Linked DNA regions of Stegostoma tigrinum. The protein of the gene in region 1 purifies or fractionates together with the protein of each later gene. This does not show direct contact. Links are inferred from orthologs where the notes say so. Each region holds a gene or a part of one and is shown on either strand. Other genes may lie near its edges.

The links.
Region 2: the proteins of dldh (region 1) and dlst purify together in Homo sapiens (affinity purification with mass spectrometry; 3 studies listed by BioGRID and IntAct, counting the BioPlex papers as one, with this or other methods). This does not show direct contact. The link is inferred for Stegostoma tigrinum from reciprocal best matches to the Homo sapiens genes DLD and DLST.
Region 3: the proteins of dldh (region 1) and pdhb purify together in Homo sapiens (affinity purification with mass spectrometry; 3 studies listed by BioGRID and IntAct, counting the BioPlex papers as one, with this or other methods). This does not show direct contact. The link is inferred for Stegostoma tigrinum from reciprocal best matches to the Homo sapiens genes DLD and PDHB.
Region 4: the proteins of dldh (region 1) and dlat purify together in Homo sapiens (affinity purification with mass spectrometry; 4 studies listed by BioGRID and IntAct, counting the BioPlex papers as one, with this or other methods). This does not show direct contact. The link is inferred for Stegostoma tigrinum from reciprocal best matches to the Homo sapiens genes DLD and DLAT.

Annotation. Positions count from the first base shown.
Region 1 is NC_081378.1:53,699,793-53,706,715, reverse strand, and holds the start of dldh (dihydrolipoyl dehydrogenase, mitochondrial), read left to right. Parts: upstream 1-3,901; 5' UTR 3,902-3,975; coding exon 3,976-4,014; intron 4,015-4,744; coding exon 4,745-4,817; intron 4,818-6,923. UniProt on the Homo sapiens protein: Lipoamide dehydrogenase is a component of the glycine cleavage system as well as an E3 component of three alpha-ketoacid dehydrogenase complexes (pyruvate-, alpha-ketoglutarate-, and branched-chain amino acid-dehydrogenase complex).
Region 2 is NC_081363.1:17,465,027-17,471,984, forward strand, and holds the start of dlst (dihydrolipoyllysine-residue succinyltransferase component of 2-oxoglutarate dehydrogenase complex, mitochondrial), read left to right. Parts: upstream 1-3,942; 5' UTR 3,943-3,958; coding exon 3,959-4,105; intron 4,106-6,958. UniProt on the Homo sapiens protein: Dihydrolipoamide succinyltransferase (E2) component of the 2-oxoglutarate dehydrogenase complex. The 2-oxoglutarate dehydrogenase complex catalyzes the overall conversion of 2-oxoglutarate to succinyl-CoA and CO(2).
Region 3 is NC_081364.1:52,374,822-52,382,093, forward strand, and holds the start of pdhb (pyruvate dehydrogenase E1 component subunit beta, mitochondrial), read left to right. Parts: upstream 1-4,266; 5' UTR 4,267-4,363; coding exon 4,364-4,399; intron 4,400-4,504; coding exon 4,505-4,564; intron 4,565-7,272. UniProt on the Homo sapiens protein: The pyruvate dehydrogenase complex catalyzes the overall conversion of pyruvate to acetyl-CoA and CO(2), and thereby links the glycolytic pathway to the tricarboxylic cycle.
Region 4 is NC_081385.1:12,808,278-12,815,324, forward strand, and holds the start of dlat (dihydrolipoyllysine-residue acetyltransferase component of pyruvate dehydrogenase complex, mitochondrial), read left to right. Parts: upstream 1-4,027; 5' UTR 4,028-4,115; coding exon 4,116-4,352; intron 4,353-6,068; coding exon 6,069-6,170; intron 6,171-7,047.

The DNA.
Region 1 (6,923 bases):
AGCCCAGCAAAGGGCCTCAAAGTAGCTTATAAGAGCTAATTTTTTAAAAATGGATGCTGACAGACAACTTACCAGGGACATTGGAATCAGTAAGAAGAAATGTTATAATTACATAAAGGGAAAGCGTGTGGTCAGGAACAATTGTGGCACACTAAAGACTGAAAATGGGGATATTGTCAATGACTATGCAGAAATGACTGACATGTTAAATGATTACCTTGTCTCGGTATTTACAGTAGAAAAGCAGGATTGCCAAAAGTCCTAAGAAAATCAATAACAGATTGGGGACAGGGACTAAACAAAATTAACGCACACGTAACATTGGTAATGAGGAAATTAATGGAACTAAAAAATGACAAATTCCCAGAACCTGATGGTTTCTATCTGAGGGTTCTAAAGGAAGCAGGGAAATACATTGTAGACATCCCAACTGTAATCTTTCGGAGTTCCCTAGACACAGAATTCTTGATTGGAAAATTGTACTTGCCTGCTTTATTAAGAAAGTCAAAAGAGGAAAACCAGAGAATTACAGACCAGTTAGCTAATATCTGTGGTGGGGAAATTGTTGGAGACTATAATAAAGCGGGGCGGATGGGGGAGGGGCCATAACTAAAAACTGAAAATTTTTCAGTTAATCAAGAAGAACCAGCAAGATTCATGACGTAGGTCATGTCTGACAAATCCCAGAGCTTTTTGAAGAGGTGACTAAGGTAGTGGACAAGTGAATGTCTCTACTCAGTGTTTATAGAGATTTCTCGAAGGCATCTGATAAAATCCCACATAAGAGACTGTTAACTAAGGTAGAAGCCCATGGAATTGAGGAGAAATTACTGGCATGGCTGGGAAACTGTTTGAATGAGAGTAACAGAAAGTATACACAATGGGTGATTACTCAAGTTGGCAGGATGTCACCTGATGAACAGCAGCGCTTCGAAAGCTGGTGATTTCAAATAAACCTGTTGGACTGTAACTTAATTTCATCTGACTTCTGTCCACAAGGATGTATTAGGGCCTCAGTTATTCACATTGTTTACTAATGACTTGGATAATGATATAGAAAGTCATATATCCAAATGTGTTGATGATACAAAGTTGGGCAGTATTGTAAGTAGTTAGATGATAGCATAAAATTACGAAGGGATATGGATAGACTAAGTAAATGGACAAAACAATGGCAGATGGAGTTCAGTGTAAGCAAGTGTGAGGTTATCGATTTTGAACCAAAAAAGGTCACATCAGGGTACTTTCTAAATGGTATGAAGTTAAATATAGTGGATGTCTAAAAAGACTTGGCGTTCCAGTGCATAGATCTTTAAAATGCCACAAACAGGTTCAGAAATTAATCAAGAAAGCTCATGGAATGCTGGCTTTATATCCAGAGGACTAAAGTAAAAGGATGTTTAGAACTCCTTTCCACAAGCCACAGTGGATGCTGGGTCAGTTGTTAATCTTAAATCTCAGACAGTTAATTTTTGTGTTAAAGGAAGGGCTTAAGAGATTTGGGCCTGAGGCAGGAAATGGAGTTAGGCCACGGATCAACCATGATCTCATTGAATGATGGTACAGGTATGAGGGATGGATGACTTACTCCTGTTCCTAGACGTTCAATTTTTGAACCTCTAGTTCTGAAAATACTTTAGAACTGATTTTGCTTCTAGTAGGAAGCAACAAGAGCCAACGCCATGATAACAAAGTGTGAAGCTGGATGAACACAGCAGGCCAAGCAGCATCTCAGGAGCACAAGAGCCAACGCCATACCTTGTTTTATTTCTTGGGAAGGACACAACCATGTGGTCACTTCATTTTTCCAATAATCATAAAAGTTCATCTTCACAGAACTTTAACAGGAAATCATATTTTGACATTTCACACTTTGTTCTATCATTCTTCCCCAGGTGAACACTAATTACTGTAATAATTACTGTCATAAAGTAAATCAAATTATAATCCTCAGTTTGGAATAAAAAAGCTTCCCACCTCCCCTTCAGGCAACTATCCTCTCCTCCGACTGATAATGGTTTCCAGGTTGACTGGGGAGGTAGAAACTAACACACAAACTTTTCATTATTGGTCAGAGTTTATTGTCTAGCTCAGTCTCACAGCTTTCCTTCAACATCCCAACTGTCCACATTTTTATATGCGCTGAAAAACAATTAATACATCTCTCATTTCTCTTAATCTTCACAATGACATTAACAAACTTTAAGAGGAGCAATTTACAAGAGGTATTACCTCCCTGAAGCAGACCACATCCCTGTATAACCAAAATTAAACAATTCCAGATGAAAATTAGTCAAAAAATAGGGATAGCTGTGTTCCCAGCTTGTGGGATATACAAGTTCGATGTGTTCTTGGAAAGCATGTGCAAGAATGATTTCCCTGTGACTTTTGATGTAATTGAATGTAATTGAAAGAAATCCTCCCCTTTCTTGAATAGTGAAGAAAAGTCTATGTGTATAGTCACAAGAGCATGATGAAAACTGAATAAGCATTAGGTAAGAGGGGAATCCATGCTGTGGTTAAAGAGGAGTTCACAATGTCACATAGATGCCTGTCACCAGCTAAGGTTACAACCTTGAGGGAGGAACTGGCCATTACGATAGATGAGTTCCATCATGCATGGGGGTGTAAAACAGTGGACGGTGATGAGTTGATCCACTATGCTAACTAAAATAACTGTACTCAGGCCAGTTTCCCATCATCAGGTCACCCTTTATTTACATGTGCATAGTTCAGGGGCAGTCCTTAGTGTAAGGAGACACTCTGAGAGGCCTATTTATATCTGTCAACCAGGGCTTCCAGATTGACCCAGTTTAGCAACCCCAGTCAGGAATCTCATACTCAACGAAATCTACTTGGCCAACCCTGTTCCAATCCTTACACTAACACAGCCTGGGCCTGGTCTGAAATAATTTTTGCAGGGGTTTGGGGAATGCTAACGTAGCTGCTGTTGAGGGCTCCTTGTTCAGCCAGCAGTCTAGACCATCCAAGAAACCTGCAGAAGGAAAGGCTATCCAAATTCGCTGTTTCCACTGCAATGAATTCGTGCACTATGACCGAAATTGCTGGAGCAAACAGGAAGGGGCAAAAGCCTGACAAGGAGATGAATTCCCCCCTCCTCATCCTTTAGTACACACAAGTTCTGACCAAGTCAAACAGCATCCAGAGAGACTAGATTCAGCAACAGACACAATGAAGATCAGGCAGGGTATTCAGCAGGTCACTGCAACATTGACCCAAAACCCTAGTCCATAATGACTCCTCCGCAGAGGCATGATGTCATCTCTCCGTGATAATGGTTGTGGGAGACCAATATTTCATACTGTTGATACTGAAGGCTTTCGGTGACTAATGCTAACCGACTCCCCTCAAACATTATCCATGATCTTTATCCAGAATCCACAAAAGGCTCAGCATGTGACTTGACAAGGTCTAATACAGGAATCTCTCATCATCAAGTTGAATGTAGATAGGATTGCCAGGAAGAAAGAAAGGGGAGGCAATGACCTAGTGGTGTTATTTCCTGTTACAATCAATGCAGAACTAGGGAATATTCTGGGGATGCCGGTTCCAGGCCCTTCGCAACGGGTGGGTGGTGTTTTCTTTCTTTCTTTCTCTCCTTCTTTTCCTTCCTTTCCCTCCTTCCTTTCTTTCTTTCTTTCTTTTCCCTCCTTCCTTCCTTCCTTCCTTCCTTCCTTCCTTTCCTTCCTTTCCGGGCTGCGTCTGCTCTCCCGACTCCAGTAAAACAATATCATTATTTTAGCCCCTAGCTGCTGTCAGTTGTGAAGTACAGCCAGTGGAGCCCAACCTTCCGTACTGTGTTAGTCACTGTCTCACTTATCACCAGCTGCTCGCGGGCTCACCGCCTCTAGCCACGCCCCCATCCACCCGGGCAGCCAATCGGAGCGGCGGACGGCGCGTCGGGGTGGGGGTTAGGGCGGTGACGTATTTCCGGGTCATTCGCTGCACGGAACGATGTGGATCTGGAGCCTGATGTTTCGGCAGCTGCTCAAGGTCAGTCCTGGTGCCCCAGAGGCTGCTTCCCCCCGTCTCAAAAGGCGTCGTCCTGATCAGGCCCAGAGCCTGCAGGCTTCACCACCCCTCCCGCCCCCCTAAAATGCCAGAGGCCCCTCTCCGCCCCTTCCGCCAAATCCTGGAGACGCCTCTTCCCTGCCCCCCACTCAAAATTCGTGTCCCTAGACCTTGTGACCCCTCCCTCCTCCCCAAACCCCGAATTGCCCCCTCTCGAAAATCCTGGAGTTTCTTCTTTCCATCCCCTTCTGTCCTGCCCCAAGACAAGACCCTGCAGCCTCCTAATGTCTTTACCTTACACCCTTCCACTCCTCATGATCCCTCTGCAATGATAATGCTAATTTATTCTGGTATTTCCTTATTGGGTCACTGTCATAGAATTATATGAAGTGAATGCAATATATATTGCCAAATACACACAATTTTAATGATACAGCTAACAGCTGAATGCCATCAGATTTTTTTTTGTTGCTGATTGAAATTTCAGACAGCATGCCTGTATGGGGTTTTTAACGCTTGAAAGGAGTTGTGACCCAGGTTACTGTACTCTGTCAACCACTGCATGGAAGGAAATCAATGTTTACCTTCGTTCGTGTGAGAGAAGAAGGTCTAGCAGATGTGAGCAAAAAAGAGTACTGAAGATGCAGTGGCATGTTCATTGTGTTTTGAAGTTTGATTCTAATGTTGATTTTTTTTTTCTTTCTGAACACAGACTGGACATGCCTGTCGTAGACTCCAAGGTCTTTCAGCAGTCGGGCTGCGGACCTATGCTGATGTTGCACCAGGTATGGTACTCTGTGGGCGAGAGTTCCACCTTCTAATCATTTCCATGCTGATTTTCCCAATGATTTTTCAACCTTTGTAATGTCTGGCTAATGCTTTCACTATAATATCGTGGTGTACTTTAACCCTAATGGAAAAGGATTATGGATTGCAAAGGGAGCAGAAAAATATATTTGTGGGATTGGACTTGTATACTGGTAGTGCATTGATAAATTTATAAACCTTTTTTGTTTAGGCTAGCTAAACATTTAAATCCATCTTAGAAGTTATACAGCACAGATTCAAGTCTGCTGTTGCTCAAGTCAGTTTAATTGAAATAAGTATCAAACGAACTGCTGGAGGAAGTGGTGGAGGTGGGTACATTTAGAATATTTAAAAGGATGGGCATATGAATAGGAAGGGCTTATAGGAATATGGGGCCAAATGCTGGCAAATGGTACAAGGTTAATTTAGGAATATCTGGTCAGCATGGACAGGTTGGGCTGAAGAGTCTTTTGCCATGCCATACATCTGTGACTCTGTCTTTTCTTTTCAGGCGTGCTTTATGTGCTGCGTCTATTTTTACTCCTCTGTGAGCTCATTTGGCTGCCTTTCTAAAAGTTTGTTGTATGTCTTTGAGCTGAATCTGATGCTAGTTTTATGCACAATTCCCATGTGAGGATAAACTGTTTAATATTGTCTACTATTTGTGGTTTAAGGTATAGTTTCAGGCCCAAAGTTAGGTAAAAGTATCTAAATTTGTATTATTTGCCAGTCCTTGTGTTAGAGGAATGTTTGAAGCCATCAATGGGGCTTGTGAAAGTCTCTTGTCAATTCTAATATAATAGCTGATTGCTCTGCTCTGTTTAGTAGTTTCTGGATAAAAACACTGGGATGTCATTTGGAGATAGTAAGGACTGCAGATGCTGGAGTCAGATAACATAAGTGTGGAGCTGGAGGAACACATCCCGGCGAGACAGCATCAGAGAAGCAGGAAAGTTGACGTTTCAGGCCTGCACCCTCCTTCAGAAATGGGGAGCAGGGAAGGGACCTCAGTAATAAACAAAGAGGAGGGGTGGGGCTGGTGAAGGTAGCTGGGATGGCGATAGGTGAGTGTAGGTAGAGAGTGGTGGGGATTAGTCAGTGAGGTGGGTGGGTGGATAGGTGGGAGAGAAGATGGACAGATTGTCAGATCAAGTAGGCAGGGATGAGGAGGAGAATCGGTCATGGGATGAGGCTGGGGGGGTGGGGAGATTTTGAAAATGGTAAAATCCTCATTTAGGCCATCAGGTTGTTGGCTCCTGAGGCGGAGTATGAGGTGCTGCTCCTCCAATTTGTGGGTGGTGTCATTGTGACACTGAAGGATACCCAGGATGAACATGTCACCCGGGGAGTGGGAGGGGGAGTTGAAATGGTTCGCGACTGGAAAGTGTTGTTGTTTGTTACAAACAGAGTTCAGGTGCTGTACAAAGTGGTAGCAAAGTGTGGAGCTGGATGAACACAGCAGGCCAAGCAGCACCTTGGGAGCACAAAAGCTGATGTTTCGGGCCTACACCCTGAGTCTGTGGTTGGTCTCGTTGAATACAACAGCAAGCCATATCGGGAGCGGCGGATGCAAGAGCCCATGTTGACAGATGTGCAGGTGAACTTCTGTCTAATGTAGAAGGTTTGCTTGGTGACTTGAATTGAGATGAGGGTGGAGGTGTAGGTGTAGCACTTCCTGCGGTTGCAGGGAAAGGTGCTGGAGGTGGTGGGGCTAGTGGGGTGTGTGGAACGGACGAGGGATCACAGAGAGCGGTCTCTGTGGAAGGCAGATAAGGGTAGGGAGGGAAGAATGCCCTTGGTAGTGGAGTCAGATTGTAGGTGGCGGAGAATGATACGTTAGAGCTGGAGGTTACTGTGGTGATGTGAGAACAAGGGGGATTCTGTCTTTGTTTTCGTTGGGTTAGGGCAGAGGTGCGGGAAAATGCGAGTAGCGGTTGACAGCATTATCGACCTCTGAAGCGGGTGTTGTTACGGTCCTTTGAAATAAGAGGACATCTGGAATGTTCGGCAGTGGAATGCTCCATCTTGGGAGCAGACGAGGTGGAGAAATTGGGAGTAAGGATTGCCTTATTGCAGCAAGGTGG
Region 2 (6,958 bases), on another chromosome or scaffold:
TCCACCTCCACACACACAGGCAGTGAATTCTACACCCAAACAACTCACTGCAAGAGTTTCTTTTGGCATGATCCGATACAGAGTCAACTTTTTGTTGCATCATTCCTCCAAATGAGACAGGGAAGAGATGGACAATTCTCAGCTATGCATGGAAATAGATATGGAGCTCCTTCATCAACAGCCAAAGTAACAGCAGGATAACCAATAAGGGAAACTACACTTTATAACACATGGACCACTACTTCAAAGCACAAAATTAAAAATTAGGTGGTGGAATGACTAATCTACAATTGTGCCAATGATCCATAAGAGAAAACATTAGTAAAATAACGAGAAACTGTTTCCTTTCCCTGAAGGAAAGTCCAGTGCAAGGGAGCATTCTGCTTTGAAAGAGGACATTGTTCAGCCATTTTTGGAATACTGTATTCAGTTCTGGTCACCTTACCAGATCTTGTGAAACATGAAAGGGTTCAGAAGTGATTTACAATGATGTTGCCAGAGTTGTAAGGTTTGAGCTATAGAGAAGCTGAATAGGCTACGGCATTTTTCCCCTGGAGCATTGGAGACTGAGGTGTGGCTTTATAGAGGTCTATAAAATCATGATGGGTATGGACAGGGTGAATAGCCAAGGCCATTTCCCAGGGTAGGTGAGTCCAAAACTAGAGGGCATAGGTTTAGGATAAAAGGAGAAATGATTTGAAAGGGAGCCAAGGGTCAACATTTCCATGCCGAAGATGGTGAGTGTATGGAACGAGCTGCCAGAGAAAGGGGTGGAGGCTGGTACAGTAAGAACATTTTAAAGGCACCAGGATGGTTATATGAAGAAGAAGGGTTTAAGAGGGATTATGGGCCAAATGCTGGCAAGTAGGACTGGCTTAATTGGGCTGTAGGGTCTGTTTCCACACTGTACACTGAATCTATAAAGGGTCACTATACCTGACACTAACTCTACTTTCTATTCACAGATACTGACAAACCTGCTGAGTTTCTTCATCAGTTTGTTTTTGTTCTATTATACAAGAGACCATCCTGTTGGTAGACTGAGTTTATCCAGTTGCTAAACTCAAAAGGCTTCCTTTTTTTTTGCTACATTGTGGTCATTGCTCAAATCAGCCAAACACCTTTCAGTTTTTAAGACGGTCATGCGGGACTCCCAGTATTAACTTCACAGATGCTGCCAGACCAGCTGAGGTCGATTTTCTCCTTTCTTCGGCATTTTCAGTATCTGTTTTAGTAACATTACAATGGGTTTCTGCATTGCGAGGCTGGAAGGAAAGAAGAAACTACCCACTCGACTGGCCTTTGCTATTGGAACTTCTCTATCCAGGACACGAAGATAAAATAAACTTAGCCACAGTAGCGTACCTCCACACAGGATTCAAATAGCACACACACTCTGAAGGTGAATAAACAGTCCTAATCTTCCTTATGGCTGAAATTCCCAAACTTGCAACAACAGAACAAAAAAAAAATTGCTGGAGAAACACAGTAGGTCTGGCAGCAACCATGGAGAGAGAAATACATACAGTCAACACTTGAAGCCCTTCTTCAGTACTCCAAACATACAGCTGGAACTGGATGGGAGAAGAGGGGAAGGGGAGGTGCTGAGGACGAAATAACCTAGACTGGAGGCTGTTCTATATTCTGTCTAACGTCCTAGCCCACGTGCAGTACCAAGCTAAAACAAAAACTTAAAGAAATTAAAAATTTTCTATTCCATTTGGCCACAGCACTGATGCAGTCGTTAACCTCACATTTAGAACCGGATTCTAAAGTGTAGGTTGAAAATTGAACCCAATTTTTCCGTTTCAAATACAGGAAGATCATAAGTGATGATGTACGACTATTACATTTAATGATGTTTTATGAAGGAATGCACTTATTTTTTGCACTTTTACTACATTTCAAATACAAACATAACACATTTATAGGTTAATCAGCGCCGACTCTCCACATATAAAGGATTTAGTTTTTATTTATGACTTTCTTAATGTTAAGTCGGAATTCGTAATGTCTGTAATTACTGACCTTGCACGAGATGAGACACAATGCGGAGTGTTACTTAAATTTTAAGTTTGTGATCGCAACTGCTCTGAAATCGTTTGTAAAATGCAAGTAGTATCTCGTATCCTGCGAAACACGGAAGCAAGCAACAGTTTGCAGCTAATAACTAATAAACCTGCGACACCTAAGAGATTTCAAATCGGGTTAACAGCCCGGCCCCTCTTCGCATTGACTTGCTGCAGATATATCTATCCTATCATACATTGAATTATTCTTGCCTTAAAAAGATATCAACTGGATGAAAATTCGAAATAACTTCGTTCAATTAAAGGCTCCAAAAGGTACATTTTCTAAAAAAGTTATCTATGGTCTCCCAAATAAATATATTTCAAACGATTTTAATATTTCTAAGGACGTCAACGAAATCTTGCATAGGGCAGCTTCTCCAGTCTAAAAGTAATCTCCTGGATGATTTCAAATCAACAGCGTTAAAAACAATGATAAAATCTGCAAACAAAAATGTGGCCAGAAAGAAATAAACAAACCTTGGTCTTAGCCAGAATAAAATACCATTGAATAAAGGCGGCGTAATTTCATTAACGCACTAACAACAGAATTTACGGAGAATGATCGATTTGCCGGCGGCTCATCCACATAAACCTTGCTTGATACCTGTACCCAAGATCAACTTTCACTCACAACGCACTTTAGTTAAAAACAAAATCAGAAAACGCAACACGGCAAAAAGAGAGTTATTTGCCCCCGAGAGCAATTGGACTTTAAAAATAATATTACAAACGAGACTGGGCACCAAGTTGAATTTATCCCTTCGCCAGATGATGTCTATGCAATAGAAGAGCAAAGTGCCTTGAGATGGCTTCATAAATCGTTAGCACAGAAACACAGCCAAGACGGGCCACTGAGTTTTATCTTGTTAAAACAGTAATAAAGAGAGCGGAAAAAAGTCTCAGTCATCCGTCCATAATCTCTCAAGTTAGCAACTGATAGTCAAACAGGACGGCAGTTCTTGCCCCACACCTTCTAGGCCAGAAGACGAGACAATGCCACTGCGCCAAGAGCCCTTATTCAATCAGGAAGGCATATCAGAGACAAGTATATCATTTAACGTAATTATTACCGTGTCGTTAATCCAAATAAGCAGCAATTAAATAACAATAACGAACATGCATTATTAAGGGGGAAAGACTGGTGATAATACGGTAACCCACACTCACCATAAGCATTCAACATTTAGGGCAAGGGTGATGATTGTCCGGGAACACAACACTCACCATAAAGTTCAGCATCAAGGGTAAAGAGTTCTGACAGTACTGCAGCCCACATTCACGATGAACATTAAATATTAAAGATAAGGATGACTATAATACAGTAACCCACACTCACCGCACAACTCTCCTCTCAAGTACACTTATCACTCCAGCAACTCTCGTCCGCATTCATTCATCCTCACTCCTTAAAAGGAGGAAAAGGGCGTACCCACAACCACCAATCCAAAGCCACCTACTAACATCTATGCAAACGACCAGGGTGTGGCACAGCCCAAGAGCGTAAGGGGGTGGATGACATTTTAACGAGGCAAACATCTAAATTATATGACAGTATTGTTTTAAAGAAAAATTAAAATAATGTTTGTTCCTAAATATTTAGTTTTAGATATATACATTGTTAGTTTGCACCTCTTTACTACCGACATGGTGTTACAATATTTGTTAACTATCCCCCTTATTGTTAATATTCATATAGTCCAGCAGCAGACTGGGCCAAACCATTCTATCAAAGTAAGTGTATCATGATTACTGAATCGAACACTCATCGAAAAGTCGATTTTTCGTATAGAGTTATGATGGCTGTTACTCGGGTGAGAAGCTGAAGCGGGTTTATTTCTAATATTTCAGACAATACACCACATCACCGCCTAACTTCCCTCCACCCCATGATCTTTGGTATTGGTATGCGCCAGCTGGTTTCCGGTCTCGGGTCTGTCTGCTGGAGCTGCAGCGCAGCCATGTTGTCTCGTTCCCGGTGCCTGGCACGGAGTCTGAGCCGCTTCACCGCTAGCCGCAACCCGGGGGGCTTGCAGGTAGGGGACACTGGAGAGATTCTCCGACCCGGGCGGTCGGGAGGGTGGACGGAGCTCATCTTCGAGCCGGTGGGAGACAGAGATCGCCGAGGAGGCCCGAGGCCTTGGCCAAGGACAAGCTGTCACCCTGAGCAATAGCGGGGAGACTATGCTATGGATATGTTTGACTGGGTCAGCTTTCACCGCTCCCCTCTCCCGGGGTCGTTTCCCATTATCCTCAGCCACGTTCCACGGGCCTACTTTCACCCCTACCCGGGGCCGGCCTCCTCCCTCAGGGTCGCCTCTCCTCCTTCTAGGCTCCGCTCGCATACCCGCCCACCTCCCTCCTCCGCCGGGGTGAACTCCTCCCCCTTCCCCGGTCAATTCTTTTACTACCACCTTTCCCATCCGCAGGTTCGCTCCTTTCCCAATCTCCACCCCGGGGCAGACTTCTTCACCCACCCTCCTGAGGTTCCCTCTTTTCCCACCTCCTTCCCCTGATCGGCTCGCCCTCCCCGCTCCCCCCATTAACGTTTCATTAGTCCTTTCAGAATTGTTAATATCCAGCAGTACTTCACTGCTGATCACTGAGGTGAAATGTCGTATTCAAAGTTATGTACAACATTGTTTTATAGGGAATGATGAGTTAGGTGACCAATTTCTTTCTGTGATTGTTGGTGAAAAAATAATTGCTCATTAAGTAGGAGGACTCCCTTTCACTTCAAAACGATCGTATTTGCTTTGATGTTATCCAAAAGGGACTGAAGACGATTTGCCCTACATATAGTCCGAATTGTAAGCCGAAACAAGTTATTCTGATTTGGGAATAAGGGAATTTGTTTTGCAAGTGTGAAGGAATGGTGATCTATAGAAATGAGAAATATAAAAGGCAGTATCTGTATGGTGGATGATTTGATTATTAAATGGGGGAAAGAAAAGCTACAGGTGTAACTTCTACAAACTTGATCAAATATTTGCCTTGCCCAAAAGGTTAACCTGATTCTTTTCATTTTGAACCCTGGTAGAAAGGATGTGAGAACTTGTATTGTACTTTAATGATCTCTATACATCTTGTAGTATTTTGCAATAAATGCATTTTTCAAGCATTCTTTTGATCAGATAATTTGCTTAGTGAAGTTGGCTAAGGGATAAACATTGGTCTGCACAAATGTGGAAAATTTTCTGGTCCTCTTCGAAATAGTATCATGGGATCTTCTGCATTGTCTGGGAAGGCAAATGGTTGCTCAATTTATAATGTCCTATCTGGGAGGCAATACTTGCAGCAGTGCAGCATTTCTTTATTCACTGCAATATGAGTCTGTTCTTTAACTAAATCTCTGGTGTGCACCTTGAACTCAACCTTCTGACTGAGATATGATAGTGTGACTGTTGAGTCACAGTGAACAGAGTAGTTAGTGATCTTGATCCAAGTACAGTAGCTACTCAATGGACAATTTTTGCCTATTTTTCCATTAACATAAATTCTGCAAAAGGTGCTTTGAAGATCCCTCAATAGCTCAGTGAGTTTTTTCAATGTGTATTTGAGCTGTGCGGATCAGAAGGTTCCATCTGCAGTCTCTGCTGAGCAAACTTTCACCCAGAGGAACCTTTGTGTTACTACAATTGTCTGACCTCACTGCTTCATTCCCTGTTAGGATTCTTGCAGATTAATGAACCTTAGATCGGATTAAGGCCAAATCCAGCTGGCTGTGAACTGCCCGTGTTGTATTTATTTGTAAAGCCTCTCAAATGAGCTTTAGCCACTAAGGTGTGATATTGTAATCTTTCTGGTGTTTGTAGAAAAAAAAATTGCTTTCATTTATATGCTGTGTTCTATAAAGATTTATAAGCTATCCAGGAACCCATCAGACAACAATGGTTCACTGAGAGAAGGCCTGTAATGTAAAATACACTTCACAAATAGGTATAGGAAATGAATACCAACCTGCAAAGTGAGATGCTAGGATGGTACTGAAAGTTTACGCAGTTTGAGAAGATTCTAAAGGTGTCAAAGGAACTTCACTAAAGAGGAGCAAGGCTGCTGAAAGCTCTATCATAGGTAGTGAGGGGAGAAGGGCATGGAGGCAGAATTCACAACCCATGTATAGAGCTTCAAAAGATCTCAGAAAATCTCTATGAAGTAATTAGAGCAGGGCATTAGTGAATCAGCAATGGGTGAGGTTGATTGTTTTTTTTAGAAAAAGCACTGGAAAATCTCGTTAGCTATGGGAGCGTTTATGGTGAGAAAAACAATTAATATTTCAAGGCCAAAGTGAATTTTTGTTCTAAATAAGTCACACTGGACTTGGAAAAGTTCGTTCTTCCCCTTGCTACGCATACTGCCAGATCAGCTGTGTTTTGCTTTTATTTTAATCTGCTGTTCTTTTATTTGGATGTAGCAGTGTTTTGGCTAAGCTGGAGTCCATTAGAAATTGATGATGAAAAGACAGACGACGTAATATAATCTGGAGGCAACGCAGGAGCAGATAGCGTTATGTAGTTTGAAATAAATCGGCTTGGTGTATGTGACCAAAAATATTGTTAAAGTGGAAATTTTCAAGCTGTGGAAGGAGAATTAATTTAATGGAAAAGAAGCATAGCTGATTTAAACTGGTAGCTTCAGACAGTAGCAGTCTATCTAATGCATATTATCTAAGCATGAAGTGAATTCTCTAGTGGCCGTGTATCTCCTGGAGGCATTTTGTAGCATGAAGCATGCATGAACAGAACGTTATGGGCGTGCTTAGAATGTGTTGTTTGATATTGCACCCACTTCGGTCTGATAAATATACTGGTGCCAGTTATGTTAAATGGAGGATATTTTTTGACTGTTCTCCATTCAGGCCTTAGTTAGGATCATGTTTAGGGTCAGAT
Region 3 (7,272 bases), on another chromosome or scaffold:
TTCATGCTGTGGATAAGGGGCAGTCCATTGCTGTACTATAATTGGATTTTGAGAAGGCATTTGACAAGGTACCACATAGAAGGTCACTGTGTAAATTAAAAGCACATGGTGTACGGACAACATGCAAAGAAGGACTAAAGATTTGTTAGCTCACAAAAAGACAGAATAGGCTAAAATGGATTTTTTTTTCCTGATTTGCAGGATGCAACGACTGGAGTACCGCAGTGGTGAGCGATGGAGCTTCAAAGTTTTACAATTTTCATCAATTACTTAAGTGGGGGAAAGGAAGAAATGGTAGCTAATTTTTTGTTTGTTGTGAAGAGGACATCAGGAAGTTGCAGACCAGTAAGTTGGTTGAGTGGCAGACTTAAGTTAGGTTAACTCAACCTAACTTAATAGATTAAGCCTGGCAGACAAATTTTTCACCTTGGTAGTATTAGGAATATATATTATTCTGTCAGTACTATATGAAAGAGGAGAAGATAAGAAACAATTTGGATATTTCCTGGATTGAAAAAGGTACTCTGTAGTCTTACAAAGAATGAATTCAACAATTTAATATGTGCTGTACCCACCTGATGTTTACAGAATTTTTTTTTAAAAAACAGAAGCCAAGCAATGAATTCAAGGAGAAAATAATTTGGTTTATGACCACAGATACACAAAAATATGGTTTTGGAAAAAAAAAATCACAAAGGGGGGCTCCTATGCTAGTAATTATCATGCAGCACTTTCTGGACTCCATTTTCTATTTTACACTCTCAATGATCAGTAAGCAGCAAACTTCTCTCCTGAAATCATTTTCTCGGTAAGGCTTGATGGAAACCTGATTAAGTTCCTAAAGGTAAATATTTCTTATTATCATGTAAAGCCTGAAAACTGGACTGTGACTACTTTCCAAAGACTCTGGTAAGGTTGATTGCAATCATTTTCCAACGGCTGTCAGCAATTTGATTTCATCAACAGAAAACCTAGCTGACTACGAAGTCATCATATTCTATGTGTTTTCAACACTGGGCCAACAGTGGTGCTTTTGTCCCTTTTGCGTTTAGTTAATGCATCGTCTCTGGACAGGCTGTTGTCTTTTTGTGTTGAGTGAGAATGTGTGTGTTTGGAATCAATCTAATTCTGGATCACTGTTAACCTGTGTTTGCCACTTATTTGTAAGCCTAAGATTTATGTAATAAGAAATACATTATTTTGAGTTCATCAAAGAACCCGGTGTAGCTGTTTTATTCTGGATAATGTTACAAAAGAGAAGCAATTGACCATGTGGATGACTGAATCATAGTCATGAACATTTATACTAATGGTGTGATTCGTGGAGGAGTGGGGGTTAAATTGCTGGAAATTTCCTCCTGGGACAGTCAGAGTGCAGAATGAATAAACTGTATTTTACCTAAACAGAGAACAACCGCAAAATTCCAAAGTGCAGAAAGATCTAGGTGTTCTAGTGCATGAGCCCTAAAAAGTTATTATCCAGGTACAACAGATAACTAAGAAAACTAATGGAATACACATCTTATACAAGAAAAATGATCATAAAGTAAGGACGTTATACTTCAGCTACACAGCGCATTGGAGAGTTCACAATTCAAATACTGTGTGCAGTTCTGGTCTCTTTATTTAAGGAAGGATGTAAATGCATTGGAGTGATTCAGAGTCAGTTTGCTCGAATGATACCCAGAACAAGCACATGTCTAATGAAGATAACAAAGTGTGTCGCTGGACGAACACAGCAGGCCAAGCAGCATCTCAGGAGCACAAAAGCTGACGTTTTGGGCCTAGATCCTTCATCAGAGAGAGGGGGATGGTGAGAGGCTTCTGTGCTCCTGAGATGCTGCTCGGCCTGCTGTGTTCATCCAGCTACACACTTTGTTATCTTGGATTCTCCAGCATCTGCAATTCCCATTATCTCATGTCTAACGAAAATAGGTTGGGTGGGATGGTTTTTACCCGAGTCCAAAAGTGCATGAAGTGACTTGATGGAAGTATACAGCTCCTGAACAGTCATGGGGCAAGCTGGATGTGGAAATTAAAGCCTGACTATTAGGAAACACTATTTCCAATCCAGACCAGATTAAAATTACCCATTTACCCTTAGAAGTAATTTGTGCTGATGATTCCTGAAGGTGGCAGTCCCTGTTGTGACCCTGTGAAATCCACGAACAAAGTGAAATAGCATGAAAACCACGCAGCGATCAGTGTGCCAAGTGCTGAGATTTCGATGTCCAGCCACTTTGACAACTTCTATAAAACTGTAAGTAATAACTGGGGTTGAGTGGCAACTGGGTGAGGGAAGTAAAATGCCAGAATAGTTGGATGCCATCTGAGTAGGATGGCAGGTGGGTAGGGTACCAGGTAAGTGAATGAGTGAGTGTTTTGGGTCAGGAACTGTCGATTCCAGCATTTGGTGGTTCATGGCTCAGTCAGGCAGGCGAGGAGCTGCTCGGTTCCGGAGAGGTCAGGGTAACTGGTGAGGGTGGATCGGACCCAGGGAAGCGGAGGGTGGGGTGGGGCTAAGGCCATGGGGAAAGTCTGTTCCATTCGGGTCGGAAAATGTCATTGGATCAGTCAGACAGAGAGGGTGGTCGGTTCTGGGAGACTGTTAGCTGGTGTGAGTTCGGGTTGGGGGCTTAATTGTTGGTGTGGTCTGGGAATGAGGCGTCGAGCCCAGAGGCCGATGATGGGGGAAGAGTATCCATTCCAGACCCGGGGTGGGGTCAGTTGTGAAGCTGGCCGGAGGTAGGGGGTTACGTGGCTTTGAAGGCCTGTCAGGTACAGCAAGGGAAGGAATGATGGAGCTAGTGTCCAGGACGGAGCGGGAAACGGTCACATATGACAGGTGAATGGTGGTGGGTGGACCACCTAAAGAGGGGTGGGGGTTGTGGGGAGGGAGTGCAGGGGAGGATTGTGGAGACAGGGTTTGCAGGGGGGATTGTGGTGGGGGTGGGGTTTGCAATGGGGGGACTGTGCTGGGGCTGGGCTTTGCAGTGGGGGGGACTGTGCTGGGGCTGGCGTTTGCCGGAGGGGGGAATGTGCTGGGGCTGGGCTTTGCAGTGGGGGGGGACTGTGCTGGGGCTGGGCTTTGCCGGGGGATTGAGGCGGGGCTTGTGTTTGCGGGGGGGGGGGCGGGAGGGGAACTGTGCTGGGGCTGGGGTTTGCCGGGGGATTGAGGCGGGGCTTGTGTTTGCGGGGGGGGGGGCGGGAGGGGAACTGTGCTGGGGCTGGGGTTTGAGAGATAATGGGAACTGCAGATGCTGGAGATTCTAAGATAATAAAATGTGAGGCTGGATGAACACAGCTGGCCAAGCAGCATCTCAGGAGCACAAAAGCTGACGTTTCGGGCCTAGACCCTTCATCAGAGAGCTGGGGTTTGTCGCGGAGTGGGAGGCGGTGTGTATACGGGATTGTGGGGGCGGGATTTGGCGGGGGGAGGAGGGATTACAGGGGCGGAGTATGCGACGGCGGGCCATACACAAATCGCCGGGCGAACGTGTGGCAGCGTCCGTGCTCAAAAAGCAGAGTTAATACTTTCGCGTTCGGCTGCAGTTCGTCAGACCCGATCGTAGTTTGCAAAAGGTTAGTAGATATAGACTGAAAACGACAAACGCCGGGGTCAGTCAGCACCCGTGGAGCCATCAACGCCGTGCACCGACATGAATGTGCACACTCCACTCCACAATGCAGCAACACCGACTCACTCACCCTGTCTCAAAGCTGCGCCGGTCCCAAGTCTTCACTTCACCCTTTGCCTCTTCCGTCGCCTCAAGAAAAGACTTTCTTTCTTAAGGGTATCGAGGTATGCAAGCTGCAGCGCTGGCTCTCCATGGACGCTGTCTGAGTTGCCGCGACCTCCAGCGTTTGCAGTAATTTGCTATTTCGTTTAGTGTAGAAACCATTTGATTCCTTCCAGACTGGACATTACCCATTTCTTAGCTTGCTCACACCATCTCCCTCTGCCCTCCACCCCCACCAATCGGTCACCCCTACCATGCTGAATTCTGCTCTCTCTCCAGAGAATGCTGCCAGACGTGCTGAATTTTCGCGGCAATTTGTTGCTTTGCTACTGATTGGGCGGGGGAGGCGGGGCCTGGACGAAGAGGCGGCCGTGGGAGAGGGGCGGGGCCTACGGTGGATCGGTCTGTGGGTTTTGGGGGGGGCGGGGTGATAAACCAGCGAAAGTGAACGCCGCCGGGCGGGCGTGGTCACGTCGCGCCCCACATTGTGCGCGATTACGACAAAACGGTCCCTTCTAATATATATTACAATTGGCCAGCAGTCAGGGCCCCTCCCCCCCCACCTCCGTTATCGCGCGCAGCAGTTTACGTCAGTAAGAGACTCCTTGAAGGGTGCAGGGAAAATGGCGGCGCTGAGGAGCCTGCTCCGTGGAGGGAAGGTGCGAGCGTTCCCTGCAATGGTGGCGGCAATTCATCGGTTAATTGCAGCGGCTTCCGGATCTTTGTATCTCTGCAGTAACGCTGACTTGTGTTTGTTTGTACAGAGTACTTTTGGTGTGTTGTCGCGGAAGAGGTTTCATCGGTCGGCTGTCGCCGGCGCTCAGGTAAGAAGGGTCACCTTCGGTCACTGCCTGTGAACGAGAGGAGTTTGTCGTTTTTTTTACCGCGGCCGGTTATCTCTGCTGTTTGTTTAGTCAAGAGTCTGAGGAATTTTGCCTCCTTTATAAGAAGGAGGGTCACCGGACCTAAAACGTCAACTCTGCTTTATCTCCACAGATGCTGCCAGACCTACCGAGTTTATCCAACCTTTTTTTTGTTTCCGGCTTTAGTTTAATGTTCCTGTTTTTAACGGCAGTTTTTTTCTCCGGTATTGTGAAATTAACGGTTATGCTTTCGGAGGTCTTCTATTGAACGCCGCTACTGGAAACAAGCCCCCTTTTTTGGGTTGGATTAATGATTTCAGTGGACGTCGAATAGATGTTTTCCTCTGGATAGCCTAGAAAAAGAGGTCGTAAATGTACAGTGAGAGAAAAGGGGTCTCAAAACTGAATTGAGGGGAAACGACCTCCTGAGGGTTGTGAAACCTGTAGAGGTCCCTCTCTGGGAGTGCATCATTGGTGGAATCAATTATCAGATTCAAGAAAGAAACATATATTTCTGATGAGAGGTGGGTAAAGGCCTGTGGGGACTGTAGTCATTGCAACAACTTCATCTAAGTTGACCTCATAGAATATGATGTCCTTGATTGTGGCTGTTAATGTGGTCCAATCAGGGAGCCCCTGGCTGACAGATATAAACAAGAATGTCAGAGGTTCTGCTCACTAGACCTGGCTCTGAGGAAGCCAGACCAGTGTTGAGAACTATGCACGTGCGAATGACTGATAACTCAGTTTAAGGGATACCGGGGCTGCGGTGGAAGTGTTTCAGGGGTGACGAGAGTGGGATGTAGATATGGCTGTATTGTTCGGACAGTGCCCAGAGTGTCAACTAGGACAAAAATCACTGCTAGCAGCTCCCCCATGTTTGTGAGAATGGCTGGATAAACCCTGGTCTCTGTTAGAAGTCAACTACACCAGTCCTTTCATGATCTCAACAATGTTAGTCACAGTGGATGCCCAGTCAGTAGTTGGGTGTGCATAGCGTTCATTCATCAAACGTGGCAACAACAATTGAAAAGTTGCATCTTTGGCAGTACTGGGCTCCTGGAAGTGTTGGCAATGGACAGTGTGCCATCATTTACCAGCAGGGAATTTGAGTATTTAATAAAGCTGACTGGCATTAGCATTTAAACACAGCTCCATGCCACCCATCATGCAGTGGTCTGGTGGAAAGAGCAGTCCAAACCTTGAAGGCAGGTTTAAAGAAACAGCCTGTAGCCTCGCTCAATACCTAACTGTTGATTATCAGACCACCCTTGTGCAACTACAAGGATAGCTCCAGCAGCGTTGTTCATGGGGATAAGATTCTGCAGCAGATTAAATCTGATCTTCTCAGACCCGAGGTGGGAGGGGGTCGAAGTGTGAAACGGTATCAGGAACAGTAATGCCGGACATCTCTCTTCTACGTGAGAGAGACGGTTTACTTCAGGGGATGAAGTTTGGTGTTGATACCATGGAAAAGAGGAGTTCAAAAATGTGAAAGATATTAATGGAATGTTCTCTATAGATTATAGTGTAAGGGAGCAATAGTGTTTTCACATCACAGCAACCAAACTGTTAGGGTACATTTCTTGAGGATGATTGGCATTGATTACACACTAATAGAATCAGAATAAGACATAGAAAGTGATAAAGCACCATGTAGTTTGCATACTCAGACATTGGACTGTTGTGAGGAACAGATTATGGCAGGTGAATGGGTGACTGAAGACACAGCATTTATAGAAACGTAGGATAAGGTTATTTGCTTGGTTAAGAGGCAAGATCAGATCCACGACCTACAAAATTCGGGTAGGTGAGACGGTTCTGAACAAGAACGTGGACACCATGAAACCTGTAAACTTTCAAACAGGCAGGAGCAAAATTTAACTGATCTCTCAACAACTGGAAAGATTATGGAAACCCATAAGTTCGTTCTTTCCTCCCTCCATCTAACATGGAAGAAATTTCAGCAAATGAAAATGGACATGCGGATGCTGTAGCCTTGACCCCTTCGCTGCCTGATAGAGGATGGCTTTCCAAAATGCTCCGAGCATGAGAGGTAGGCTGGTCCAGTATACGCTGCCCATTATCAGAGTCTGAGTTAGACGAACCAGACTTGGTGTGAAACTGCCTCAGGAGAGGCTACGAGGCAGGCCTATATCCTTGAATTTAGTGGGAGAGGGATGTAGTGATTACAGCGACGTCAGCCAGGTGAACCTCCGGATAAGTTCCCTGTTTGCAGATGCGTCAGAGGTTCTACTCACTCTGAGAAAGCCAGACCATTGTCAAGTGCTTCACGTGCAAGTAAAGTGGGATGCCAGCCTCTCCAAAGTTATTTTGGGCAGTAGACAGGAAAGTGGGGTTGAGACCAGGATAAGATTAGCCATGATCATGTTAAATGGCAGAGCAGACTTGAGGGACTCGATTGCTTACTCTCTCCTAATTCCTTTGTTGCTATGTTTAATAGTATTAGAAGTGCTTTCCTTAATTGTGAGCTTTGTTTATGGTTTCTTAGTGAATTTGTTAATTTTCACCACTATTTATGTAGGACTGAGGAAAGGGCAAACAGAACATATAATATTTGGGAATGACTTTTGGACTGGCAAAGTATCTGGGAGGAGGACTTGAAACTGATAAATGGAGTGATAACTAACTGAAAATCAAAATGCCCA
Region 4 (7,047 bases), on another chromosome or scaffold:
AAATTTTTGACTTGCAAGTTTAAACGGAAAGTACTGACTTCTCTCCGATCAATAAAAGAAATGTTGGGTGAGCATCAAGTTCCCCCTGCTGTCCTGTCACAGAATAGCTTACTGGAGATTTGGCATTTATGAAGGCCATAAATGCATTTAAAATAAGATTACAAGAAAGGTATGGATTTTTAGTCTTGTGTGTAATGAGGCCAATTTATTATTTGCAATTTGATTGCCCAGAATGAAAGGCATAATGCATGTGTGTGTGTTCTCCCTTTAATGAAACTGAGCCATACACAAATATATTGGTCTGTGATACATTGGTTAGATAAACAATTCAGGTTTCAAAATGTGTCACATACAGCAAGCGATACTGCCTTGATCTTTAGAGCCAAGTGGAATTTTATTGATCTCATTTAGGATCAGATTTCTACAAAATTAAATAATGAAAATTAGAAGTTAGGTAAAGAAGAAATAGGATTTCTAGATTAAGATTTCTGGAAAAAGTGCAGTCTTTGAAGGATTTCTCTGTCTTGGTAATTCTGTTCCATTTTAAAAAAATCATAATAATATCACAAATGTTTCAAGTATGATTGCTTTTCAGAGTCAGTATTCCTGTTTTTTGTTTAGTTTTTTTTAAATTGACCATTATGTGACTGCTATACCACTGTTTGGAGATTTATAAAATTAACTCCAGAACTGAATATGGATGTAACTAATTTAGTTGTATCTGTTGGGAACTGGAACAGTAAGCTTTTTATAATTGGATATTTATCAAATTTGAATTACTTTTTCACGACGGGCTATTTAATTTAAAAAAAAGGTTTGTATTGCCACTGTTTTGGATATTATATGTTCTGGCGCTATGGTCAAAAGACATCAATAGTACTAGACATTTAGCGTAAGTGCCATAATAATTACTGCTGTGCAGTTTGTTTTAACGGAACTAAACATTTCAAATGGTGCAGTGTATTTAGTTTATATCTATTATAAGAAACTGTTTTGTTATAACCAAGATTATTTGATTTGCATCAACTCAATTAGTCCATATGATGGCATCCAGAGGAAAAAAAATGAAGTTTGTTATGATGAGGATTGACTATATAAAGATACTGGTGTTTTTAAAAAAAGACTGCATTTTCAATAAAATATGTATGAAGTTCCTTTGTTATGCAGGGATTTTATTCTGTGTTATCCTGAAAAAAGCCCTTATCTCTCAATTGTGAACAGCTATTGTGTTAAAGATGAAGATTATATGTATAGAGTTGTTGCAATTTTATATATAGTTGCTCACTATTTACGGCACAGAAGTGAGCCATTCAACCCAAGGGGCCTATATTTTTATTAATGCTGCACATGAGATTCCTGTCGTCCAGCATTAGCTTTTAGTGTAACTTTTGATTCCTTTCTCCCTCTTGTTCTTATCTAGCATCCCCTTAAATATATCCATTATAATTGTCTCAACAATTCCACATGGCAAGTTTCACATCATAACTACTGAGTAAAGAAGCTTCTCTTAAGTTCTTTATTAGATTTGAGTGACTATCTTGTACATATGACCCCTAATTTTGGATTCCCTCAAGCAGGAACATCATAATTAAGTGATCATTGCTGTTATTGGAAGTGATGTTGCTGTTTTGTACTTGAACTGAAATGAATCAGCACACAACTCTTGACAGATTGTTGGACTGGTATTGATAGAATATCTGTTGAGGAAAATTGGAAAATAAAAAAAGTTTGGACTGATTCCAATTCATGGGAGGGGAATGACGATCTTGCAGTTGGAATCAGAATTCTAGCAGTTGTGGAATGCTACTGGTCAACTGCAAAACCATTTACAGGCAAAGACCTAAGCCTACTGGCCAGAGAGAATTTAAGTTGAGTAATGCAAATGCGCCGCATCAACAACAGAAATTGCAAGATATGCTCAGGAAGAGGGAGGGATGGCACCGGATCTGGAAATATGCCATCTTCTAAAATAATGAAGTATTTGAAGCACAACTCAAGGTCTCGCAGAATACTAACACCATACACTGCCAAGTTGAACCTGCAACAAGAGACTTGAGTCAAGAGGTAAAGCATTGAACTTCTAAGTTGAAATAAAAAGAATGACTTCTATTTTAAGTACGAGATAACACTCTGACTGTTGGGGAATTGACCCAATGGTAAATTTCACTGGTTGTTATTATCATGTATATCAAAACTGGCCCATCACTACAAGTCATGATCAGTATTTTTGTATAAAAGAGTCATACAGGGAGGTTATGATAAACTTTGGAGCATACGAAAGGTAACTGGATGTTCACAGGGGCTAGAGTGCCTCTTGTCAGATGGAAGGTTAGATATCAAAATGAACCATACAGGTGAGACAAGGTAGTGCTGAAGGATGGATATAGTTGACTGCTTTGAGACTGGAGCAGCTAATCAGGACAGAAAGAGAGAATGCACCATTGTTACAGTCACATAAAATGTCAACACTGATCTTGCGAAGGGCAGTTAATATGATGACTGTAATGCTAAAGGAATTCTTAAAAAAGAATATGAAGATGAGTGTACAGCATGCAATGCAATCATGACTAGATAATTTGTTGCTAGGGTGGCATGGTGGCTCAGTGGTCAGCACTGCTGCCTAATAGTGCCAGACACCTGGGTTTGATTCTAGCCTTGGGTGACTGTGCAAACTCCACACAGACATTCCCACCATGTCTGCGTGGGTTTCCTCCAGGTGCTCCAGTTTCAGTCCATAGTCCAAAGATGTGCAGGTTAGGTAGATTGTGTTCAGGGGTGTGTAGGCCGAGTGGATTAGCCATGGGAAATGCAGGGTTATGGGGATAGGGTAAGTGGTGGGATGGTTTTCAGAGGGTTGGTGTGGACTCAACAGGCTTACTCGCCTGCTTCCACTCTAGTGATTATTTGATTTTCTGAACTACCCCATTAGCAGTTATTGCAATAATAAAAGCTTGTGGTGTAAGGGCTGGTACACTGACATACATAGAAGGTTGGTTGAATGATTGGGCTGGTTGAATGCATTAATGAAGATATAATTGCCAAATTTACTGATGTCAGAACATAGCTTTCCTCCTAACAGAGTTGTATCACTTGTCACAAGGGGAATTAAATACAAAAAAATCATGATTCTATTATTCTATATTGATTTGAGGAATAAATATTAGTCAGGACGACTAGGTAATTTCCCTGCAGTACAGTTCCAGGAACCTTTTTAGATGTCAAGACCTGTGCTCCGAAACCAGCTGAATCCTTCCTGTACTCCTACAAGGTTATCATCTACGTGACACTGTGGAAAATCACTCAGTTGTGCCTTCTCTGTAAGACTGTGGACAAATCCAACTGTATTAATTAAAGTTCTATTGACCCATGTCTAATTTTAGTGATGGCACAGAAGAAATTATCAGTAATGCTGGAAAGTAATACTTGCCAATAACTTGCCAATGGTAGGATTCCTCACAGTAGATATTTATAAATAAACAGTTCAGATATGTTGTGTTACACCTTTGAACGAGGTGGGACTTGATCATAGGCCTCCTGGTCTGGTGGTAGGGACAGTATCACTACAAGAACGCTCTTCTTAGAGTAGGTATTTTCTAATCAACCTGTTCAGAGATGTAATTACACACCTCTGGAACAGGTAATGACTTCAACCCTGGCCTCCTGGTTGAGAGGTAGGTGACTAAGCATGCCTTGAGACCCATAAAGATTTCAAACAACACGTCCAGGCATGTTGTTGTTTTTATTTAAATAAATAATGTGGAAAGGTATAAGGAAAAAGCAGGATCTTCGTAATAGGTAATGACGGTCATTTGAAGAGCTTGTGCAGTGCCGAGGGCCTGAATGGTCTCCTGCACCGAAACACTGCGTGATTCTGTGAAGGGAATGGGTAATGATGGTACTGTGAACAGCTGAGGCAGTCACGATGGACTGAACGGCCTGCGGCGTACTAAGGTGCCACGTCATCATGTGAAAGGTAAAGGATGTCCATGGAACCGAAGAGTGAGTCTCCGTGATGTCACATCCGTTTTACGACTGTGGCCTTTGCCGTACGGCAGAGGTCATTGAGGAGACGCTGAGCCTGTACGCCCCTCTCAGCTCCGTTCTCCGGCCTCGACATGCTCCGTCAGGCCGCTAGGCTCAGGCCGTGCGTCCGGCTGAAGCCCGGCTCCCGGTCCGAGCGCCGACCGGCGATTGCGGGGCTCGGTTTCGGGCCGCCTCCTTCTCGCTGCTGGGTCTCGCTCACCGCCTGCGGGAGGCAGGGCCCCGGCCCCCAGCACTTTCTGCTGCCCAAGAGCGCGTTACCGGTCACGGCCACAGCCAGGAGATGGTACAGCCTCCCCCCACATCAGTTGGTGAGCAACATTTTGGGAATAGGGAGAGCTAGAGCACAGAGGTGGCAGCCTTTTGATTCCCGTTCCTTCGTCAGCTCCTGAGGCTTTTCCTGTTCTGTCTGTAGCTATATGTTCTCCACTGATTGCCAAGATCTGGGTTCCAGCCCCAAAAATGCCAAGGCTTTTTGTCACTCCAGCACGGTGGCTGCTGCACGGCCTTTTGGATGAGATGCTGAAACTGAGGCTCCGCCTTCCCTTGGATAGAAGTTGAAAGAAAAACCCGGCAGTGGCACCATGTTCGGCAGCCACTGCCCTGGAATGGTTGCCCATTCTGCCAGTTCGCGCGTGTGAAGTTTCCCCTGTGATGAGCGGAGAGTTGTGTGGCTTTGAGGGTGGATGGATGTGCTGAGATTTTGGGAATAGGGATGGTGAATGGAGGTAGACAACAAGTGTAGAGTAATGTCGACAGTGGAATGAGTTGGTGCTGACTGGGTGCATGCACTTGTCCCTGTATGGTGGCAGCGGTTGGAGTATTTTAAGAAGTGGTGATTTGTCCCTAGTACCCCTGATGAATGTTTATTTCTAAAATTGCTGTCACAGCAGTTTACATAGTTATTGTAGTTGTGAACGTTTGCTGCGTATAAATTGGCTACCTCTATTCTGACAGCAGTAACTTTAAAAAGTACTTTGTTAGCTGTAAGGAAGTTTCAGTTAGTGGCTATGAAAACTGTTGTATTAATTCATAAACTGCAGTAATATTTGGGTCAGTTTCTGCTGTTTTGTCATCCATGTTATTTTGAGTTGTTGGGTGTCTTGCATATTTTGATGTGTTTATGAAGTATTTTATTGCTGCTATATCTGGTTTTCTCTTCCTGGTAAAACAAATTCAGTTCTGTGTGTTCAGCTATTGCTTTGTGTACTACAGTAGATTCTGGAGAATATCTAGAAATCCCTTGGCTTGCAATCATAACTTGAGGCATCTGCATCAAAATGATCAAATCATTTAGCATAGTAGAATTTAGATTTATTTTTAGTGAAATCTGAGATGGTTGTGTTTGTATGCTGACATGAGTAGCCTACCTGTGTTAATGTTTGACACAGGTCATGAGGAGTTTGGACGAAGTAAGTGTCGAATTGAAGTATGAGTGAAACCTCCTGCGTTGTTGAGTTGTATTGATTTTGGTTTCTGCATTTTTCTAACTATAGCAAGTTCAGACCAGTTTTCTTGAAATACAGTACTGAGAATGATTTTTGTAATTCCTGTTACTGTACTGTACGACAGCATGCGTGGCTTGATTTGGACACAACTCTAATTGACCAGAGTTGAGAGTTATAGTCAAAGTTGCATTGTACGCTGAATGCCCAGTTTGTTACTGTTCAGGTTTTGAACAGGTTAGCTGAAAGTTTCTCGACTAAGTATGTGTTTTCAGAGAAATGAGACCTGTTTACTGATCTGATGCGATGTTCTAAAAGCAAGTTGATGTATTTCCAGCCATCCTGAAATCTATAAATCTCTTAATCTGCAATGAAACCCCTGATTGATGTACAAAATCTTTTGAACTCATCACAGTATTTATCGGTTACCATTTCTTTAGTTTCTGCTGTAATTTTTGTCATGACAGTTAAATTTAGACTAATGATCAAATAATGGACTCGTTAAAATAATGATATTTTCTCAAAGATGTTCTTTAATCAGTTACAGAAGTGTTGTGTAACTCATCATTATTTTATTTATAGGTGGCATTGCCTGCTCTGTCTCCCACAATGCAAATGGGAACTATAGCCCGGTGGGAGAAAAAGGAAGGTGATAAAATTAATGAGGGAGATTTAATAGCAGAGGTATGTGCAGTTAACACCCTGTTTTGTCAACATGCATTAAAGAACTTTTTAACAAGCGTATATATAAATAATTTGAATGAGAGTATAGGAGGCACGGTTAGAATGTTTGCAGATGATGCCAGAATTGGTGGCATAGTGGACAGTGAAGAAGCTTATCCCAGATTACAAAGAGATTGTGATCAGTTGGATCACAGTGCTGAGGAGTGGCAGCTGGAGTTTAATGCGAGGCATTGCATTTTGGTAATACAAACAGGACTTACGCAATTAAGATAGGACCCTGGGTGGTGTTGTAGAATAGAGACCTAGGGGTTCAGGTTCATAATACTTTGAAGCTTGCAACACAGGTGAGCAGGGCAGTTTAGAAGGTGTTTAGCCTGCTTGCTATCATTGCTCAAGCCTTTGAGTATAGGAGTTGGAAAATCATTGTTGGGGGTTGCACTGGATGTTGGTGAGGCCTCTTCTGGAGTCCTGTGTACATTTCTGGTTGCCCTGTTGTAGGAACAATATTATTAAATTGGAAGGGGTTCAAAAAAGATTTACCATGATTTTTCCAGGAATCGAGGATTTGAGATATGAAAACAGTAGTGAAAATAGTCCCCTTTCCAGACCTTAGGAGGTTGAGAGGTGACCTTATTAAAGTTCATAAAATCATGAGAAGCCGAGATAAGGTGAATGACTAGTGTCTTTTCCCTTCTTGGGAGAGTTCATAACTAGGTGGCATATTTTAAAAATGAGAAGAGAAAGTTAAAAAGGACCTGAGTGATAACATTATTTTTTACACAATGGTTTACATGTGGAATGAACTTCTAGAGAATGTGGTGGATGTAGGTATAGTTACAAAGTTTTTAAAAGGTATTCGGATCAGTTCATTCAAAGG